Linked DNA regions of Oryctolagus cuniculus. The protein of the gene in region 2 purifies or fractionates together with the protein of the main gene of each other region. This does not show direct contact. Links are inferred from orthologs where the notes say so. Each region holds a gene or a part of one and is shown on either strand. Other genes may lie near its edges.

Region 1 (4,948 bases), on a different chromosome or scaffold from region 2:
CACAGACTTTTTTCAGAAATGTCTCCAGTTATAGTTCATTCAAATAAGTATCAGCATAACTTAATCTCTGTGAAAAAGATCACCATGTAGACTTTAAGAATTATTTCTTATATTTGCTATAAAGCAACCACTTTTTAAAGGGTAACAGTGGAGCTGGGATGGTTATAAAGAGAAACTGGCACAGCTACAGCCCTAATGTTAGTGAAACCATAAATTCAGGATAGTTCTTCCTTTACTAGTAGCCTCTACAACACGCAGGCACAGTACTAGGTACATGGTACATACCTTACAAATATTTACTGAGTTTTCAAAAATCTATACTTGGTATCTATTTTTATAAAGAAAGGTTATATGCAAAGCCCACCAAGCAACTACAAACCTGCTAAATTCTTAGGAAAAAAAACCACATGGGAAGACTTAGTTCACACTGCACCTAGAACTGTTCAAAGAAGCAGCTATATAGAAAGGTTGTTCTAATTGCATCCCGGAACCTGTTAAATATCAGATTTAGGTATATTATTAATTTTTACTCCTCCAAATTCTGTTCTAAACTTGGAGACTGGGGGCATAAATCTTGGAAATCTTTCAGGAGGTGAATTTGGTTAGCCCCAATTAATAAACGGCAAACTAGCAGATGAACTGATGCGTTCTTTCCTGAGCTTCTTTTTTATCTATTTATTTCTGCAATGAGCAAACACTGATTTCATTTTAAAAAAAAGCTTTCATTAAAAAACAAAAAAATGGCATAAAAGGCAACAAGTAGGGCAACTATTATTTTTTCACTTTCTCTAAACAATAACTGTGTTGTATTTGTGCAGATTCAATTGGCAAAGAACTCCTGATTAACAGATGCCTTGGTCAGATGTGTTCCAGTCACTGATAAGGTGCTTTCTATTGTAAACAAGACTGTCTTAGGGTCAGTCAGCCATCAGCAAATGCTTCACAGTACAGTTAAGACTTTGAATTAAGTATTTAAGCAAAGCCTCATGGCCCCCTTTCAGAAGTGCTGTACAAGGGTTTTCTACACTCCAAGGACAGCTGGATAGATCAGGGACTTGCAAACATTTTGGTGTCAGGATCCCTTTATTCTATTATCCACAGAGGACCTCACACAGCTTTGGCTTATCTGAGTTGTATCTATCAGTATTTACCATATCAGAAATTAAGATTAAGAAATTAACAAAACACATGAACACCAGAGGCATCAGAGTGGTGATGTCATCGCACACTATTTAGCCTCCAGAAAACTCCACTGTACACTGGTGAGAGGACAAGAAAAGGACAAATATCTTAGTAGTATTCTGAAAAGTTCTGAATTGGCAAACCCCTGAAAAGGCCCTTGCAAATCACTGGACTAGATAACTCAGGCATTATTAGCATTTGAGGCAGTTAATTCTTTGTTGAGAGGGGCTAGCATGTGCTTGGTAGGAATGTTGACTAGCATCCTGGGCCTCTACTCACTACATGCCACTATCACCCAGCTGTGACAACCAAATATGTTTCCAGATATTCCCAAATGTCCTCTTCTTGAGAACGCACTGTTCTATGATGTTCATTTTATTCTACTAAAATGCGAATGACAATATGCATATTTCTACTGCCTTCTCAGGTCCCAAATATGTCTGTGTCCTCCCCTCTCTGGTCTGTTTCTTCTGCTCTTTTATTAAGTCACAAAGAGCAAGAGCCTGTGGGTAGCAATAAGCACAGGATGAATCAGGTCAGGAAGAGACACAATGGTCAAAGTTCATCTTTATACATTAAAGCCGTCAGGAACCCGCAGCCTACCCTGGCAGAGCACAATCAGCTACACTTCCATTTTGGGACCCGGTAAGAACTCACTAATTGCGAACTTACCCACCTTCCCCTTCTAAAAACGAGGTAACAGGCCAGTTGTGCCATAAGGAAGAAGAAAACCAGTCCCCCAAATCTCACATCTGGAAGGCCCTCCCACCTAAAACATTCGGGATTTTTTTTTTTTTTTTTGGCTGCGGGTGTGGGTGTCAGGGTCTGGCTGGGAGAAAGTAGCAAAATCGATAAACACCGACATCCTTAACCCCTCCACAATGGATATTCATTCCTCACCAAAGTCCCCATTGGTTTCCAAAGGTTGTGTCTTGAAAATTGCCTCAGCCAGTTTAGGTTCCTTCACTCTGAAAACTTCGACTGCCAAACTCAAATTCAGCATCATTCCTCACCTCTTGAATCACCCTTTCTCCATAAATTTCCACTTACAAACCCCACAACCCTGTCCCTGCCCCTAAGGCTCTCCTATCTGCTCCCAGCCCCCATTCTTCCCCCAAGTTATTCCATACAGGCAGTCTCTTTCCCTACCAATTTTCCTTCTCACTCCATAGTTTTTCCATCAACTTCCAAACTCTTGCCTGATCCAGGGAAATCGGGACTCTCCTAATTACCTCTGCCGCCCCCAAAATCTTCTTTAGGGTCTTCCCCAAGTCACTCTTTATGCGACCTCTGCTACGCTTCACGCTTCCTGCTGACTCCCTCGGCGTCCACCCTTCCCCGCCCCCGCCCCGTACTTGCCCCTTCTTACTCTCCCCGTGGCTTCTTCCCTGCCATCTCTTGATCAGGCCTTCTCTAGGTCACTGCTCACTTCCGCGGGACAACAACCCCAGCCCAGTGTCAGCTGCGGAGCCTCTCAACCGCCTTCTCCCGGACCAGTCTTTCAGGTTGTGGCCTTTGAACCAGCGCCCCGGGCCCAGGCTGAACACTAATCAGGAGGGCCCAACAACTCACCCAGTCCCAGGCAGAGCAGAACGAGTCCCGAGCACTGAACCAAGAAAATACAGGAGCGCACCATGATTTCAGAGGGCAGGAGGCGGCAGCAGCGGCAACAGAAAGGAAGAGACTCGCTACAGCTGCGGCAAGAGCACCACCGACCACTGACCACAGCGCAGCAAAAGCCAGGAGTCGCCGCCGCTTCAGCGCGAGTCATAAGACCAGGGGCGGGGTTCTTTCTTGTTTTCAGCCAATCCCCGCGCTTGAAAAAAGCGAAAGGGATAGTGATGTAGGGGCCGGTGGGCGGGGCGACCACGCCCTGGCTTTTTGGTTCACAACCATTTCTACGCTACTAAGAGAGATGCGTGGACGGCATTTTCTCAGGCTAAGGAAAGAGAGTGAACTTTTGAGGGCTGCAGACAGTAGATTATTTCTGTTCTGACTCCTTGAAGAAGAAAATAACTGCTGTCAAAAAACTGTTCCTACATATCTCAACATAACATATAAAAATAATAAATTATTCTCGAAACGCTGTTGTTACCAATGCAATTCACGCTATTAGATAGGACCAGAGAGCTAGAGGGTGATCAGATAGCTTGGGGGTAATGTGAAATCACTGACCATCAGAGCAGGACATGGTCTTGAAGTTCGCCTAGTTACAACAACACCCTGTTTCTCAGATTGGGACACTGAGCTCAAAAACAGGAAGTATCTTTACTAAATACAGGAAGAAAAAAATGAGAAAAATAAAACAAGGATAAAGATGAAAACATAACTATCATCCAGGTTCCCACTGTGCGAAGAGAACCACTGTTAACATTATAGTAGGGGCCTTCAAAAAGCTCATGGAAAATGCACAGGTTCAGGTTTGCCAAGGTGCAGCATGCCACTCCACCACCTGACCATAGCTGGTTCTCCTCTCCACTGCTCCGTTTCCAATGAAACTCCCTGCTACTGTGCCAGGGAAGGCAGAGGAAAATGATTTGAGTGCTTGGGCCTCTGCCATTCATGTGGGAGACCCAGATGAACTCTTAACTCCTGGCTTCAGTCTAGCCCACCCCAGCTGTTGTGGGCACTTAGAGAGTGAACCAGCAAATGGAAGACTTCTCTCTCTGTGTCATTCTGCCTTTCAAATAAATAAAATGAATTTTTTTAAAAAGTGCACATGATCTTTTAATTCAAGCTCCCCCTTCATTCATATGTGTGTGTGCATTCTTTATATATTTGTTTCTAAATTACACATACACAAGCACACACACACACACACACACATATCCTTTCAGATGTCTTTCCTATGCTTATACAAATATACTTTAATGAGTTCATACTAAACTGGTACTTGACAGATGAACAGACAAAACCTAAAATATTCAATAGATAGAAGCACTCAAACCCCACAAAAATCCCGAGTTGGAATGAAGCATTGATTGTCAAATATCAATTTCCAAAGAATCATCTGGGGATTTTAAAAACATATTCCTGAAACTCATTCTCCAAAAATTCTGAAAGGGTAAATCTGTGGCAATCCCACAAATCTGTTATTTTTGTAAACAAATATTCCAAGTGATTCTGGTGCTGGAGTCCATGGATCAAACTTTGAGAAACACTAACATAGAACTTCAGAATCATTTAGTGCAGGATATCTTAATCTTTTATGAATGACCTTTGAGGGTGGAGAAAGTGTTATGAATCCTCAGTAATTACATGAAATATTTATATATGTGTATTTTCCTGGGGAAGTTTATAGTTTTCACTAGTTATGAAATGGAACCTCTGAGTCCCCACTCTACTCCCCTTGCCAACTCAAATATTAAGAACCACTGGTCTGTCCTCACTATCATTTGCTTTAATCTGATTAATTCCTGAAAGTGAGAACACGTGTTGATGAATGTCTTCTATAATAGGTGAAACAAGTCATGAGTGATGTACCCAACACAGGATTAATATACACTACAGTATTAGTCACTGCAATAGTAAAATGTAATTTGACTGCCCCACCATCAAGAATAGGCAGGAGATGTATCCTGGGTATAGTGGTTTTCAGAGAAACCACGATTGAGTTGAAGCCTCAGAAAATTGTCTCACCAATCCTTACTGAAAGACTGTGACCCTTCTCCCTAAACTATAAATTGCATATGTTTAATGTTCAGCAGAACCCTACATCCTAGAAGAGATAAAAGAGGTCAGTAGGAAAAAAAAAAAAAAAACATTG
Region 2 (5,062 bases):
AAAGATTGCCCAACTTCTCGACTACTTGGGATCAGAGAAATTTAAACAAAGCCAACATTGAGATCTCAACTGCAGGACAGTAATCAACTTCTATGCACCAGCCACAACCTTCACCCATACAGGCTTCCTATAGTGCCCCATAAATCTTCCACTTTCTTTTATCTTTCTTAGAATTCAATTAATTGTTCACAGTCTAGTTCTCCACAAAAATCTGTCCTAAAGTATTTCTTTTCTCTGCTTTAAACTACTGTAAAACACAGTACTCATAATATTCGTTAGCAGTATTTCTTATGCTGCCTTGTATTGCTTTCTTCTTTATGTGTATATCTTGATTCTCCTGAAGCAGTTAGGACCTGTAATGATTGGATTGTGTATCAAATACTCACACACTGACTGTCCAGCGGCTCCAACAGGAAGTATGAAGCAGGACCATACTCCCAGGACCAATCATTCTGTGAACCCACTATGTGCAAGGGAAAGAGGAGGGGACAAGGATTCCTGAAATCAAATATTTCTTCATGGCCAGTATTAACAATTCCATTACCACCTGTAAAGGACATCTCTTGTTCCTGTCCACTGTGTACCTTTGCCTTAAGTCTTAGTGGGAACATCTTCAGGACTCTTCACCCTCTGCAGGCCCGGGGGTGGTCATGGAGCAAACAGCAGCTGGGTCAATCCAACTCTTTCTGGGCAGCAAAGTCTACGGTTGTTGCACATTTATTCTGCGGCAGGCCCTAAAAGAACTCCTGTAACTTAGACCCCTTGAGCTGACTATGGTTCATTTCAGAGACCCTGCTGGTCATTCACCCTATATCTTTCCAAATAAATCCCTGTCTTAAATTAGCCATAGGTGGTTTCACTGTTTGCAAACAATAAACCCTAACTAACCTACAGTCTTTCCATTTTCTCAATTGAAAATAAATAATTACCAAAAAGAGTGACTTAGAGCTAAAGAGATATAGTTACATAACTGTTGGTGAAACAATTGCTAGGTGAAATGGAGATTGGTAGGTCTGTACTCATCCTGAAACCGAAAGTCACAGACCCAAGATCTCTGGAGCAGCCAGCACCCAACCAAGATGCATTTAATGTGTTTTTCTAAGACTCATTTTCCTCTTAGATATCCAATTTTTCCATAAATTGTCAGTTCATTAATCTCATCCTGAAGAATTCATAAACAGGGGCAGGCACTGGGCACCACACTTAAAGTCACTGCTTAGGATACCCACATCCCATATTTTTAGAGTGCCTGTTTTCTCTGCTTCTGATTCAGTTTCCTGCTAGTGGGCCTGGAAACCACCCCTGTGGGAGAGCAGGATAAAGTTCTGGCTTCATCCTGGCCTAGACTTGGCTCTTGTGGCCATTTGGAGAGTTAACCAGGATATGGAAGATTCCCCCTCTCTCTCTCTCTCTCTCTCTCTCTCTCTCTCTCTCTTGCTGTGCCTTTCAAATAAATAAATAAATCTTAAAAAAAAAAAATCACATCCCTAGACGTTTACAAAAAGTGGTGGCCATTTAGCACTACGGTTAAGCAGCTGCTTGGGCACCTGCATCCCACACAGGAGTGCCTGGTTCCAGTCCTGGCTCCTAAGCTTCTGATTCAGTTTCCTGCAAATGCACATCCTAGGAGAGCAGGTGATGGCTCAGTACTTGCGGTCCTCCCACACGTGTGGGGGACCCAGCTGTGAGAGACCCAGCTCTGGGGTCCTGGCTTTGGCCTGGCCCATCCTTGGTTGCTATAAGCATTTGAAAAGTGAACCAGCAGTTGAAAGATCTTTCTCTGCCTCTCTCTCTCTGAATCTCTGCCTTTCAAATAAAAGTGAAAAATAACATTTTTTAAAAATTCACCAGGGATTCTGCTTTAACTACAAGTCTCCAATCTACTTTCAGGTTTTACCATTAGCTTTCTGTTTTCTCAGCTAGAAAAGAACTAAAATTTTTAGTCATATCATTAGGAATTGGTCTCTATTTTGTCAAGATGATTTAACTATGGTCACTATTTGTACTACAACCTAAGGTCTTGCAGCACTGGAACCAGGGTTCCCATGTCTTTCGCCTTTCCCAATGTGCTCCATTCAGTGAAAGGATCATAGCAATATTCCTATTTGTTTATTAACCCAAGCAAGCGCTTTAATGTACCTGCCATCTTTGCGTTCCGAAGAGAGCAAGCATTTCATTATGTGTAATGGGCAACCCAGTTAATAATTATAAACAGTCTTCGTATAAACTCAGGCAAGTAAGACTTCTGCAATTTTGCACTATACGCACAGGGATTTTACGTCCTCTGCCTTGGATCGAAGATTTGAGACCCTTCTCATGCTACCATGCTTACATAGAAAAACAGCACGTGACACTGTTTTCCTCCAATGGGGGTTTCCGGGCTATGACAGCGACAGGTCCAGGGCTGCCCACGGGACGCCGCGACCTGCCGCAGCCTGTTCAGGGGCCCTGCCGGCGGGGACCCGGGCCCCTCTGCGTGCCCAGGGGGACAGCGCGGCGCCCAGACACGCGCGGGGACGCAGGGCGCCCGGGCCAGACGCGCGTCACGTGAAGCGCGCAGTTCCGGGGCCACGGACGCGCGCCGCACGTGGGCTGCGCGCCAGCCTGGGGCGGCCGCCCCCCGAAGCCCACCCGGCCTCCCGCGGGAGAAGCCGGCAGCCTGCAGCACTCGGCCTCCAGGGCCGCCCGCAACCAGCCCCGCGCCCTGGGCCGCGCCGCACCCCCAGTCTCCGCCCCTCGCGCCCCAGCACAGGAAGAACGGGATTCCGGAGGCAGCGCCCACCACCTCCCCTTCCGCGCACTCACGTCCTCCGTCCGGGCCCCCGCTGCCATCTCCCGACGCCCGAGACCGGAGCCCGGGCCAGCCCGGCCTGCCCACCTGCGCCCGGCCGCCGCCGGCCCAGGACGAGTCTCCACCTTCAGGGACCGGCGGGCCCTCCCCGCGGACACGCCCCCTTCTCCGCCCGCCCCGCCCCTCAGGCCCGGGCCCCGCCTCCCCTCGCTCCCGATTGGCCGGGGCGGAAGGAGGGGCGGGCCTCGCCCAAGCCCCGGGCTCTGAGCGGCGCCCGGAGAGCGCGGGCTCCCGCTTCGCGCCGCCGCGTCTCTGTCAGCTCTCGGCCGCGCTCGGGCGTGCTTGCGTGGCTGGTCCGCCAGTTGAACCCTTTGCGGTAAGGTGTTTGCTCTGTGCTGAGGGAGACCCCGTGGTAAAATCCCACCCCACCCGGAGAGGGACGGAACAAACCTGATTTACCTGGCGTCTGAGTGGTTTAACTTCACCAGCGTCCTACACAGGGTCACACCACGATCGGTGTGCGGAATAGGCACCGTGGGAAACAAATTTTTGGATTTTTTTGCTCCTTTGTTAAAGGAATTAACAGAGAAGGCTGGGGAATTATCTGATAATACATTATAATTAAAATGTAGTCAGAAAAGGAAAGTGAAATTTTCTGTCAGTGCCACCCCTCCCCCCACAACCGGATGAATGCTTATTTGCATATGGCGTGTACTGGGGTCCTGTTTGCAAGGCTGGGGAAACATGAAAACACGTAAAACATTACGTGGTGAAACCACGCAAATGTCAGCAAAGGCAAGGACGGTGTCGGACTCCACGTGGTCCGAAGGTGTCTCAGTCCCGAGATTCTGTGAATTTTTTCTCAAGTTTCTAGATACGCATTTCCCCTCCATATTTGGAAAATTGTCAAGGCTATAGCAATGCTGAAATACTAGTACCCTGAAATCCGTGGATGTGCCCCTTATGTGAATTTATCAGTTGTTAATATCATACCAAAACTGCTGTGTGTGTGTGTAACTGAACCATGTAAACGTTGAGGACAATATGAAACGCTATACTCCGTTGCCTAAAAGTAAGGATAGTTCCTTCATCAAGACAATCATTACACACCTAAGAAAACTCATAATACTATGTTTACTACCATCATAGCATAGTATTATAATTGTATGTTTACTAACTACTCTAGGCCAATGTTTTTCAAACTGTCCCTGTAGCGATACTATCTCTTCCCATGATCACAGCTGAAAGTCCTCTAGCAAAAGACAGGTTAGCTAAAGGAAAGGATGACAAAAATTTTTTTAAAGATTTATTTATTTGAAAGGCAGAGATACAGAGAAAAGAGAGAAGGCAGGGAGAGAATCTTCCATCTACTGGTTCACTTCCCAAATGGGTCAAACTACTGGGGCTGGGCCAGGCCAAAGCCAGGAGCCAGGAGCTTCTTTTGGGTCTCCCATGTGGATGCAGGGGCCCAAATACTTGGGCTCCCCTCTGCTACTCTCCCGGGGCCATAGCAGAGAACAGGATCCCAAGTGGAGCAGCCAGGACTCGAACTGGCACCCATATGGGATGCCGGCACTGCAAGCGGAGGTTTAACTTGGTGCAACACAGCGCCAATCCCCCAAGCTTAACATTTCAATATAAGTTTTACAGGACACAGAAGCCTCCAGAAATGAGGAATCAAGCACACAGAGCAAAGGGTTCTAGAATGAACAGCCTGTAGAACTATTGGACAGAAGAGTATGATCTACTGGAAACAGACTGAGGAGGCAGCTGGGCCTGTCTGCTCTGATTCTTGGCCTCTCTGCAACATTCCTTCCTTCCCCGTGGGGGACAGAATCCTTTCTGGAGTGGGGATGTTATGACCAGCTAGGTCAGACAATTCCTTATGTCCAGCTCTTACACAGAAAGGGAGTTTTGCATTATGTATTCTGAGGTCTATGGCTGGATTTGGGGGAAAGTAGTTCTTTAATGCCTTGGGAGAGGAATTCTGGTTTCCATGCTTGCCTGGGGTGAGAATGAAGTGCCTAAGAAAGGCAGACAGGAGGCCGGCGCTGCAGCTCACTAGGCTAATCCTCCGCCTGTGGCGCCGGCACCCCAGGTTCCTTTTTTTTTTTTTTTTTTTTTTTTTGACAGGCAGAGTGGACAGTGAGAGAGAGAGACAGAGAGAAAGGTCCTCCTTTGCCGTTGGTTCACCCTCCAATGGCCACCCGGCCAGCACGCTGTGGCCAGCATACCGTGCTGATCCGAAGCCAGGAGCCAGGTGCTTCTCCT
Region 3 (4,889 bases), on a different chromosome or scaffold from region 2:
TGGAAAACACAAGGTCGTCTCAGAACCGCTCACCCACCCCCGAGACACGCACCCGTCAGCGGTGCTGCACGAGCCCTTCCGCCTGGAGTCCTACCACACGACAGACAGAAACCGGGCTGTGCTCTCCCAAAACGGCCTCGCTGACAAAACCGTTCGAGCTACAGAGAAGCAGAGCTGCCCTCTCGCTTTTCAGCCTTTAGACAGAACTGTGCCTTTCCACACACGCTGGCTGCAAAGCAGCCCCGCGCCCTCTTCACTTTCCCTCCTGGGTGCCCGCCTGCGCCCCTTGGTCCTGCCCTCCGCCCGGGGCCACTGTGCCGAGTGCCGCGTGCTGCGAGACGCAGGGCTCCCGAGCACGCAGGTGTCGCAGGACAGACGCACAGACGCGCCCAGCAGCACTTCTTACAGCCCTGGCGAAAGGCAGACACGCGGCCTCACTGTGCAGGGCTCCCCGGTTAGGTGCGATGATGGCGGTGAGGTCCCACAGGAAGCCGGCACACTGTGCCTAGACGATGGCGGTGAGGTCCCACAGGAAGCCGGCACACTGTGCCTAGACGATGGCGGTGAGGTCCCACAGGAAGCCGGCACACTGTGCCTAGCAGGGTCAGCCTGGGCGTGCGGGGCTGCCTCACGTCCGGGCTGCTCCACTTCTGCTCCAGCTCTCTGCTGTGGCCTGGGAAACAGGCAGTAGAAGATGGACCAAGTGCTGGGGCCCCTGCACCCACGAGGGAGACCTGCAGAAGCTCCTGGCTCCTGGCTTTGCATTGGCCCAGCTCCGGCCACTGTAGCCATCTGGGAGTGAACCAGCAAATGGGAGACCTCTCTCTCTGTAAGTCCGCCTCTCAAATAAGTAAACCAAAAAAATAAATAAAAAAAAGAAAGTGATACACATACAAGAAAAGTAGTGCCTGGACCTTGCTTCACAGCATCCAGAAAGCACAGGTGCACACCAGCAGCCGGCGGCACACTGGGCCCCTTCCACTGGATCTTTATTTTTTAAAGTACATTTTGGTAAAACAAACATAAGTTACAACTCTATGCAAAATTACTGCCTCTGTTTACCATTTCTCACGGAGAACCGTAATTTAGAGCGAAAGAGAGGGGAGTGTGTATCCCAGGTTCGCTACCTGATTCAGGCGCCGAGAGACAGGCAGAGGACGGGGTGGGGGGAGAGGGGGACAGGGAGGGGGACCGTGCCTCTGTGCGGGGGTCGCTCCCACAAGTGCCTGCGGCAGGTGGGACGGCCCCAGCGGCCGGAGCCCCAGTCCCCGAGCCATCTCCCGCGCCTCCCCGGAGTGATCACAGCGACTCGCGGGCTGAGCCGGAGGCGGGACCCGCGCCCGCGGCCGCCGAGCCCTGGCTGAGCCCTGCCTCTCCCCTTAGCGCGCCCGGCGCGGTGCTGGCCGCGCGGAGGAAGCAACGACGGCAGAGGGGCAGCCGCGGGCCTGAGGCCGCACCGAGCGCGGCAGCGGCGCCCGCAGCACGCAGGGTCCCCCTCCCCGCGCGCACGCCCCCCGAGTGCGTTCTGCTCGCGCGGCGGGCGGCAGCCGCACACACCCGCCCGCCCGCCCGCGCGCTTCCGCTTTCCCGGCCCTCACTTTCCCCCGCCGCGGCCTTTCTCCTTCCTCTTCCCCGGAGCCACCGCACTTTCCGTTTCGCGCGGAGACCCCCGGAGCCCGGGGCGGGCCGGGGAGGAGGGGGCGCGGCCGGTCACGTGGCCCCACAGTCACGTGCCGGGCCAGGTCACGCGCGCAGACGGCGGGGGACGTCCGGGAGACCCGGCCCCTGCGGGCGTCGAGCCCCGGCGCACGACGGGCGCGCTCTCGCGAGATCCGCGGCTCACGTGACGGCGGGCGCGGCGCGGGTCACGTGACAGGCGCTGCCGGCCGTGGGGTCTCCTTGGTGCCGGCGCCGCAGCTGTCGGGCCCGTCGAGTCGGTGGTCGTCGCCGCCCCTCCCGCAGTCTCCACGCCCGCAGCCGAGGCCCAACCGACGCCGCCCGGCCCGCGCCAGGCTCCCAACACCGGCTCGGCCGCCTCGCGCCATGGAGGCCCCCGGCGGCGCCCGGCGACCGCTGCTTCTGCTGCTGCTGCTCGGTGAGGCCGCGGGAGGCGGCGGGACGGGGCCGCCGGGTCGGGGCGCGGGCGTCGCGGGGCGGGAGGAGCCCCCGCCGCGGCCCGGCTGCGCGCAGCCCGAGGTCGGACCGGCGACGAGTTCGGGGGGCGCCGTGGGCGGTGCCGCGGGGGGTCCGAGCCTGGCGCGGCGGGCGATCAGAGGGCCTGGCCCCGGCCCCGGCCCCCGGGCGGAGAGGTCGTGGCGGCCGTGCCCGCTCCGGGAAGCAGGGGTGAGGGCGGAGTGTGCGCCCGGACGCCCACCTGCCTCGGCCCCGGCCCGCAGACCCCCGCCCCAGTAACGTGCGGAGCTGGTCGCAGGGACCGGGAGAGGATGCGCGTGCGTCAGGTAGACGCGCACCTGCGCGTGAGCGCTGGGGGTGTTGGTGGAGTCCCCCCGAACCCCACAGTTCCGTCTGCGGATGGGTCTTGTCTTGCTAATTGAGCGAACGTATTCCAGGACTTGCATAAGCAGCCGCAAGAGACGCCCTGGCCGGGGCCGGGCGCCCGTGACCCTTGGCAGCAGGTGCGGTTAGTTAGACCAGCTCTCCCGCGTCGCAAAGCTTGCGTCACTCTTTGTAAGCACACCGCACCGGCCTTGGGATCAATAAAATGAAGATTCGTAACTTGTTAGTATTGGGGCAGCTTGGAGTACTGTGCCTGCGATTGGGCTCTTTCTTTCTCTCTCTCTTTTTTTTTTTTTGAGAGGCACAGACGGCAAGCCTCCAGTCTCTGGTTCACTCGCCAAATGGCTGCTGTGGCCCGAAGCTATGAACCCAAACCAGGTCTCCCACGTGGGTGGCAGGGACCCAAGTGCCCGGAGTCCTCGCTGCTGCCGCCCGGAGAGCGCCGTCCGGCAGAAGCTGGGGTGCAGCCAGCCGGCACCGAAGCCCAGCGTCTTTTGCTTTTTTTAACTGTTTGTTTACTTGAAAGGCAGAGGCGGAGCACTGGGATCCCCTGGTTCAGCCACCCGGGCCAGGCAGAAGCCTCGAACCTGCAGCTCCATTCGGGCCTCCCGTGTGGGTGGCAGGGCCCTGGAAGCCCGGGCAGGGAGCTGGCTGGAAGCAGAGCGGCTTTCGGGTTTTGTATTCAAGTACAACCCAGCTCTTCAAAAGGTCTTTTACCAACTTGAATTCACGTCTGTCTAAAAAAAAAGTTTTAATGTAAAACACCAAAAGGCATGTTTTCATTACGAGAAACTGATTCTTCAGTTCCTGTTCTCATTAGTAATCTGGAGTTAAAGCTGTTCCAGTGTTCCGCAGACCTGGGGAGACTTGTATTTGACACGTAGGACTCGCAGCAGTCGTCTGACTTGTGGGCCACCGGGAGACCTGTTACTTAGGCACTGTGGAGAGTTTCGTGCGCATTACCGTTGCCCTGGGCCTGAGAGTCGCTCCTGAATTCTTCGCCAGGTTGCAGACCGGAGTGTTTTTGTGGACCTGTGGCTTTGAGTTTCTGTTTGTGGTAAAGTCTGCATGGTGGGCCCCTCTCTGTGCATACCAGGAAGTGTAGCGTGTGCTCTGTGGTCTCTGTCGGCTGTACTGCGACTGCTCCTGCCCGGGCCTCTGCCTCCCCCACCCGAGGCCCGGCCCTGCCCGACAGCTCGCCCTGCTTGGTACCGTGTGAGGAGATGCCCGGTCTTCACGGCCCCGCCCTCAGCACGAGGCAGCTCTGTAGGGGTGTGTGTGTGTGTGTGCGTGTGCGCACATGCAGGGCCTCCAGAGGCTGCGAGCCCGTGTGCGGGGTCGGACTTGGTCTTTCTCTCCCTTCAATCTCCATAGATGATTGTGCATTTCATTGATTACCAGGGAAGCCCCTGGGCTTGAGGAATCTAGATGGTACAGGTGAGGGTGTGCTTAGGGAAGCTGGCGCTTCGAAGGGTAGACTTCAGATAGCAGCCTTTTTCATGTCAAAGCCTGTGTTCCATAATTTTAAAAATTATGTGAAAGGCAGCGAGGCAGAACTCCCATATGCTGGTTCACTCCCCCAACGCCCTGACCAGTCAGGGCTGGGCTGGGCCAAAGCTAGGACCCAGCTAAGTCCAGGTCTCCCACGTGGGTGGCAGGAACCCAGCCACTTCTGAGCCATCACTGTGCCTCCTGTGGGACACATGAGCTGGCAGCTGGAATCAGGTGGGGCTGAGTATCTAACCCAGGTGGCTGTGCAGGTGGGATGCAGGCATCTGAACCCGTGGTAACCTCTAGACCAGACGCCAGCTCTCTGCCTCAGGAGTTCGCCGCTTTGAAGCCTGGTCCCTCCTCACCACGCCTGGAGGCGGTGTGGTCAGGCCTGGGCCAGGCAGAAGAACCCACTCCGGGCCGGGCTCGGGACCAGTCTCTGGGGTGTGACCTGGAGCAAGGGGTCAGCGTCTGTGCGCCTTGGTCTCCAGCTCTGCAGGAGGGAGTCTCGTCGTCAGGTTAGCACGGTAACTGACGGTAACAGGGCGGTGCCTGGCACACAGTAGGTGCCTTACAGTGCTCGCCGACTCAGACTGTGTCAGGTGCACCAAGTGCTGATGGATTGAGGGCTGGGGTTGCCGCAGGTCCAGGAGCACACGGTTGTTCAGGGTGGAGGAACCACCGAGAACCGAGGTCTGACTCAGAAGCGTGTGTGTTGCCCACAGCTGTGCTTGTCTCAGATTGGAATTTCTGCAAGTGGGAGTGTTGAAGGAGCAGCCAGAGCTGTGGTCTTGTGACCCGGGGGAACCACTGTGTTTGAGACTGGGTGGACGGCTGCCACAGACACAGGCACCCGTGGGTGCCGCCTGCAGGTGCTGCCA
Region 4 (4,820 bases), on a different chromosome or scaffold from region 2:
CCAGAGCCCAGGCCTGCCCCACACCTGCGCTGTGCACCACACAGCCCCACCCCTTCTCCCCAGCACCCCCACGGCTGCAATGCTCCCTACCCCGTGAGCTCCAGGCCCCGGCCTGGCTCAGCCCTGGCTTTTGAAGAATGAACCAGCAGATGGAAGATTTCTCTCTGTTTCTCCATCTGCCTTTCTAGTCAAATAAAAAAAAAAAAAATCCCTTAAAAAGAAGAGAGGGGGAGGTAGGCGCCCTCAGCTGAGGAGCCCCGCAGGCAGGCCTGAGGCGACCAGCGGCCCCGGGTCAGCTCGGCCGGGGCAGGGGGCTGCAGCCGGCAGGGAGACCGGTGGGCTCCCGTGTCTCTGTCCTCAGCGGGCAGGGAGACGGGTGGGCTCCCGTGTCTCTGTCCTCAGCGGGCAGGGAGACGGGTGGGCTCCCGTGTCTCTGTCCTCAGCGGGCAGGGAGACGGGTGGGCTCCCGTGTCTCTGTCCTCAGCGGGCAGGGAGACGGGTGGGCTCCCGTGTCTCTGGCTCCTGGAGGCGCGGCTGCAGCTCAGCCCTGGGTCATGGGGGTCCCAGCCCAGGCCTGGACAGGGCGGGCTCTGCCCAGGCAGCCGGAGGTCAGCGGTCAGAAGCCACCTCTGCCTCCTGGAGCCCAGGGCCTCAGTTGCTCTGGGACCTGGAGCACCCAGGCTTTCAGGCCTCCCAGAATCCTCCAGGCTCGGCCCCGGCTGCCGGGGAAGCAGGCTGATGATTCTAGTGAGTGGACTAGCAGACTGCACTGGTGGGAACCCACCCCCCCACCGCCCCCAGCAGCCGGCCGCAGCCCCCAGGGGCCAGGCGGAGCTCCCGGCCGGCCGGACATCGGCCCACTCCTGGAAGGGCCTCCCAGCCACTGTCCCGCGGCGCCTCTGCCCAGAACGCCTTGGGTGGGGCGGCCACAGCTCAGGGTCTGCTGCCTCACGGGTGAGCGCCTGAGCACCCGGGCACCTGCCTTGCTTTCTCGGAGGCACGTGACAAACCCACGCCGGTCCCCCTCCCCAGACGGCACCTTCCGCCACTGCCCAGCTGGCCTCCTGAGGACACTGTCATCCCCTGCCAGCTCCCCGGGCAGGTCTGGCACTCCCGCGGCTCAGGCAGGGAGGTACCGGGCCTCGCTCCGTTCCCAACACCAGGGAAGGAGTGGCCAGCATGGCCTGAGGGTAGCGCCGAGGGCCCCTGGCCCAGGGCACCCTGCAAACAGATCCTGGGGTCCCCCCCACCCCCGCCCCCGCCCGGCGCTGGGAGACCTGACCCCTTCTCTGGTTTTGTTCAGCCATCCTTTGAATGCCGGGGTGTCGAGAACAGGGCGCGGGTTACAGACTGGACGGACAGGGAGGAGGGCTCAGGACACCGCGCAGCCCCGCGAGGAGCTGCTCCCGGGAGGGGCTGGGCCAGGGTGGCCGGGATGGCGGAGGCACCGGGATGCTCCAGGGCACCTTGGAGCCCCTCAGCGCCAGGCAAGACGTGCGCACGCGCGCGAGGAGCAGGTGCAGGCGCTGCGGCGGGGGAGGGGGGGCTTCCCACGCCCGCGCGTGCCGGCCCCGGCGGCAGGCGGGGGCGCTCGGTCCGTAGAGGGCCTCTAGGGTGAGTCTGGCTGGGCCCCCGAGAGCCCGGACAGGCGCGGCGGCGGGCGCGCTCCCGAGGGCCGTGTGCGGGCACGGACGGGGCGCGCCTGCGCCGGGCTGGCGGGGGCGGGAGAGATGGGCGGGAGGGACCGGGTCGCCCCGCCCCGCGCACGCCGGCCGCGGCCACGTGACCAGCCCGGGGGCAAACAAGCGGTCAGCTGACCAGGCCTGACTGCGCCGTCATCCCGGCTATAAGCGCGCGACCTCGCTGCTCCTGGGCCACCGCCGCCATGCAGCCCCCCAGCCTCCTGCTGCTCGCCCTCGGCCTCCTGGCCGCGTCGGCTACCGCGATCATCAGGTGAGGCCCCGGGTCCCAGGAGCGCGCTCAGGGCGCCGCGGGGGGAGGGGGCGCGGCTCTGGGGTCCCCGCGCCCTGGTGGTCTCCCGCGCGGGAATGCACCAGCGCCTGCGGGCTCCGTAGGTGCAGGGGTCGCGCTCAGCCCTCGCCGGACGCCCTAACCCTCCTGCCACCCCTCCGTCTTGGGGGGTTCAGCAGCCCGGAGCGCAGCGCTGCCCCAGGGTGACAGGTGGGGCGGAGCTGCGCTGCTTCGGGTCAGGTGTGGACTCACCTGGGAAGGCGGCACCGGCAGGTGCAAGCCCTGGAGCCCCTGAGCCCGGGGAAGACGCTCCGGCAGCTTCCCCCAGGGGACCTTACCCAGCCCTGGGAGTCCCACAGGTGCCAGAGAGTGGAGAGGTCCCGGGGCGTGGCCCAGCCTGCCCACCCCGGGACTGGGGCTCTGTCGAGAGCCCTGGGGCCCAGGGACCTGTCCCCTGTGCTGGGGGCATTGGGCCTGTTGCACAGGACATTGGAGTGAGCTCCAAGGTGGCGGGCTGGGCGGGCTGGGGGCAGGCTGCAGCCTTGGGGGGGGGGGGTAGGCTCCATGGCAGCCACTGTGGGGCAGCAGGCACGGCGCCCGCCTGCCTGCCTGGGCCTTGCCTGCCCCACCCACAGCCTCCGCTCTGCCAGAAGGGCAGAGACTGTAGTAGGGAAGGGAGCCCAGGACTTCCTGGGGAGCCCGGCAGTTGAGGGAGAGGCCCACACACCTGACCCAGGTCCTGTGGGACTCAGGGCACCTGTCTCCTTGATCCCTGGCCACGCCCAGGACTCCCAGCCTACCCAGTCTTGGGCAACTGGGAGCATGCCCTTGGCGTGCCGGGAATAGCCAGCTGTGACCTTGGGCTCAACGACGACACCTCATCTGAGTGATTAGGAGCTGGGCGAGTGGGGAGTGAGCCCAGACACAGAGTGGGCGGGGCCCTGGGCATCAGAGCCCGCGGGACACCTGCCCTGGGCCTGGGGCGCTCTCCTGCACAGCAGTGCCCAAGGCCTCACCCCAAGCAGGGGCACGGGGGGTGTGTTAGGAGGAGGCCCAGAACCCCCCAGTGCCCCATAGTGGGGTGGGGGCCCCTGGGGCAGTCAGGGTTCAGGGCAGGGAGCTAGCGTTGAAGAGACCCCTCCGATGGCGGACAGGCAGGTGCAGGGAGGAGTGGCTGGGAGGCCAGGTACAGTGCGGTGAGGAGCCCTGCACGCTGCTGGCCACCATCCGGGCAGAGCCAGGAGCAGGTGCAGGGGAGGGTGGAGACTGAAGGGGTGAGGGCGGCACAGGCAGGCGGGTGGGCACAGCGGCCCCTGGTTTGCATGTGGGCTCCCCGAGGGCTGGGTGAGTGAGGCCTCCTGGGCTGGGGGCAGAGGGAGCTGGACCCCCAGGTGCCCGTGGCAGTTTCGTGCTGGCCATGCCTTAGACCCACCCAGAGGGTGGCTGGTGAGGGTCTCGGGCCCCGGGACGGCTGCCCTCGCCCAGCTGCGGGTCCCGGGGTGGGAGGGAGAGGCTGTGGCGGCCAGAGCCCCGCCCTGGCACAGCCCCCACCGCCGTGTGTCTGCACAGGATTCCGCTGCACAAGTTCACCTCCATCCGGCGGACCATGTCGGAGGCCTGGGGGCCCGTGGAGGACCTAATTGCTCAGGGCCCCGTGGAGGAGCCAGGAGCTCAGGGCCCCCTGTCCAAGTACTCCCAGGAGGCGCCCGTGGGGACCAAGCAGCCCGTGCCCGAGATCCTGAGAAACTACATGGATGTGAGTGTGGGCGGGGCCTGGCCGCAGGCAGGGAGGCGGTGGGATCGCACACGTGCTGCTGGTGGGGGCCCGGCCCTGCACCTGGCTCCCCTGCCCCAGGCTCCCTGGGTCTCCAAGCCTGCGGGGGCCACTTGCCCCCACTGGGGCTGAGACAGCACCTCGGTGGTGCCGCCCCTGTGTGTCCCCAGCTCCAAGCCCCTGCTCGTGGCTGAGCCGATGGCTGGTCCTCACGGCCACAGTCCCCTGGCCCTGAGCTTTGGGTGGGCGACCCTGATCCTGGGCCGTCAGGGTCTGCCCTGCAGCCCCGTCACCTGCCTGTCCTGCCGAGAGGCCTGGGTGACGCCGGGGACACTCTCTGTCCCCTCACGCTCTTCAGCAGCCCCCATGGTACCCCCTGCTCCTTCAAGGGGAAGCTGGCTCAGAGGTGGAACATTCCAGAAGCTACACACACAGCAAGCTGGGACCTGGTCGGCCTGGTCCTAGCTCTATGGGGGAGAGGTTCTGGGCCAGAGCTGCCCCCAGCCTCAAAGACTCCCTCCCTGCTGCCCAGGCTGGGCTCTGGCCTGAGGGCTGGGAGGCGGGGCTGTGCCCTGTGTCCTGCTTGGCCTGGGTCCTGGCCGGGACAGGAAGCTCGAGACTTGGGCATGTGACTGACTGGGGGGAGCGGGGACCCTGCTGACCGGTCCCCTGTCTTCTCTGCACATGGACACTGCTGAGTCATCCCACCACGTGGTGCCTTCCTGTCGGTCATGAGTCAGCAGTCCAGTGGCCCCGGGGCGGGGGCAGAGGGGACAGGGGGCTGGAATCCCACAGCAGGGGAAGCCCTCGGGACCCCAGGATCAGAGGGTTCATGATGTCTTGTGTTTGCCTGACCCTAAGGCAGCCTCGCTGGCTGCCCCCGTTGACAGATGGGGAAACTGAGGCCCAGCACAGCCAGGGCTGTTTCGTCCTCCACGCTGTGCTTGGTTCCCTGGCTGCCCCGGGGGTCGGGGGCAGGGCTGGGACTGCAGCCTCTAGAGCTGGCCCCGACTTCTGGGGAGGAGGACACTGCTCTTCCGGGCCCACACTGGCCTGGCGCCCGGCTTGTCCACCG

What was found. The genes of interacting proteins can lie anywhere in the genome.
Region 1: the proteins of TMEM192 (region 2) and LAMP2 purify together in Homo sapiens (affinity purification with western blotting; 5 studies listed by BioGRID and IntAct, with this or other methods). This does not show direct contact. The link is inferred for Oryctolagus cuniculus from reciprocal best matches to the Homo sapiens genes TMEM192 and LAMP2.
Region 3: the proteins of TMEM192 (region 2) and LAMP1 purify together in Homo sapiens (affinity purification with mass spectrometry; 3 studies listed by BioGRID and IntAct, with this or other methods). This does not show direct contact. The link is inferred for Oryctolagus cuniculus from reciprocal best matches to the Homo sapiens genes TMEM192 and LAMP1.
Region 4: the proteins of TMEM192 (region 2) and CTSD purify together in Homo sapiens (affinity purification with western blotting; 3 studies listed by BioGRID, with this or other methods). This does not show direct contact. The link is inferred for Oryctolagus cuniculus from reciprocal best matches to the Homo sapiens genes TMEM192 and CTSD.

The regions. Positions count from the first base shown.
Region 1 is NC_091453.1:98,202,892-98,207,839, forward strand, and holds the start of LAMP2 (lysosome-associated membrane glycoprotein 2), read right to left. Parts: upstream 3,050-4,948; 5' UTR 2,954-3,049; coding exon 2,755-2,953; intron 1-2,754. UniProt on the Homo sapiens protein: Lysosomal membrane glycoprotein which plays an important role in lysosome biogenesis, lysosomal pH regulation and autophagy.
Region 2 is NC_091439.1:131,731,007-131,736,068, reverse strand, and holds the start of TMEM192 (transmembrane protein 192), read right to left. Parts: upstream 2,964-5,062; 5' UTR 2,833-2,963; coding exon 2,806-2,832; intron 1-2,805.
Region 3 is NC_091440.1:680,431-685,319, reverse strand, and holds the start of LAMP1 (lysosome-associated membrane glycoprotein 1), read left to right. Parts: upstream 1-1,840; 5' UTR 1,841-2,043; coding exon 2,044-2,095; intron 2,096-4,889. UniProt on the Homo sapiens protein: Lysosomal membrane glycoprotein which plays an important role in lysosome biogenesis, lysosomal pH regulation, autophagy and cholesterol homeostasis.
Region 4 is NC_091432.1:1,679,020-1,683,839, forward strand, and holds the start of CTSD (cathepsin D), read left to right. Parts: upstream 1-1,771; 5' UTR 1,772-1,885; coding exon 1,886-1,953; intron 1,954-3,540; coding exon 3,541-3,727; intron 3,728-4,820. UniProt on the Homo sapiens protein: Acid protease active in intracellular protein breakdown. Plays a role in APP processing following cleavage and activation by ADAM30 which leads to APP degradation.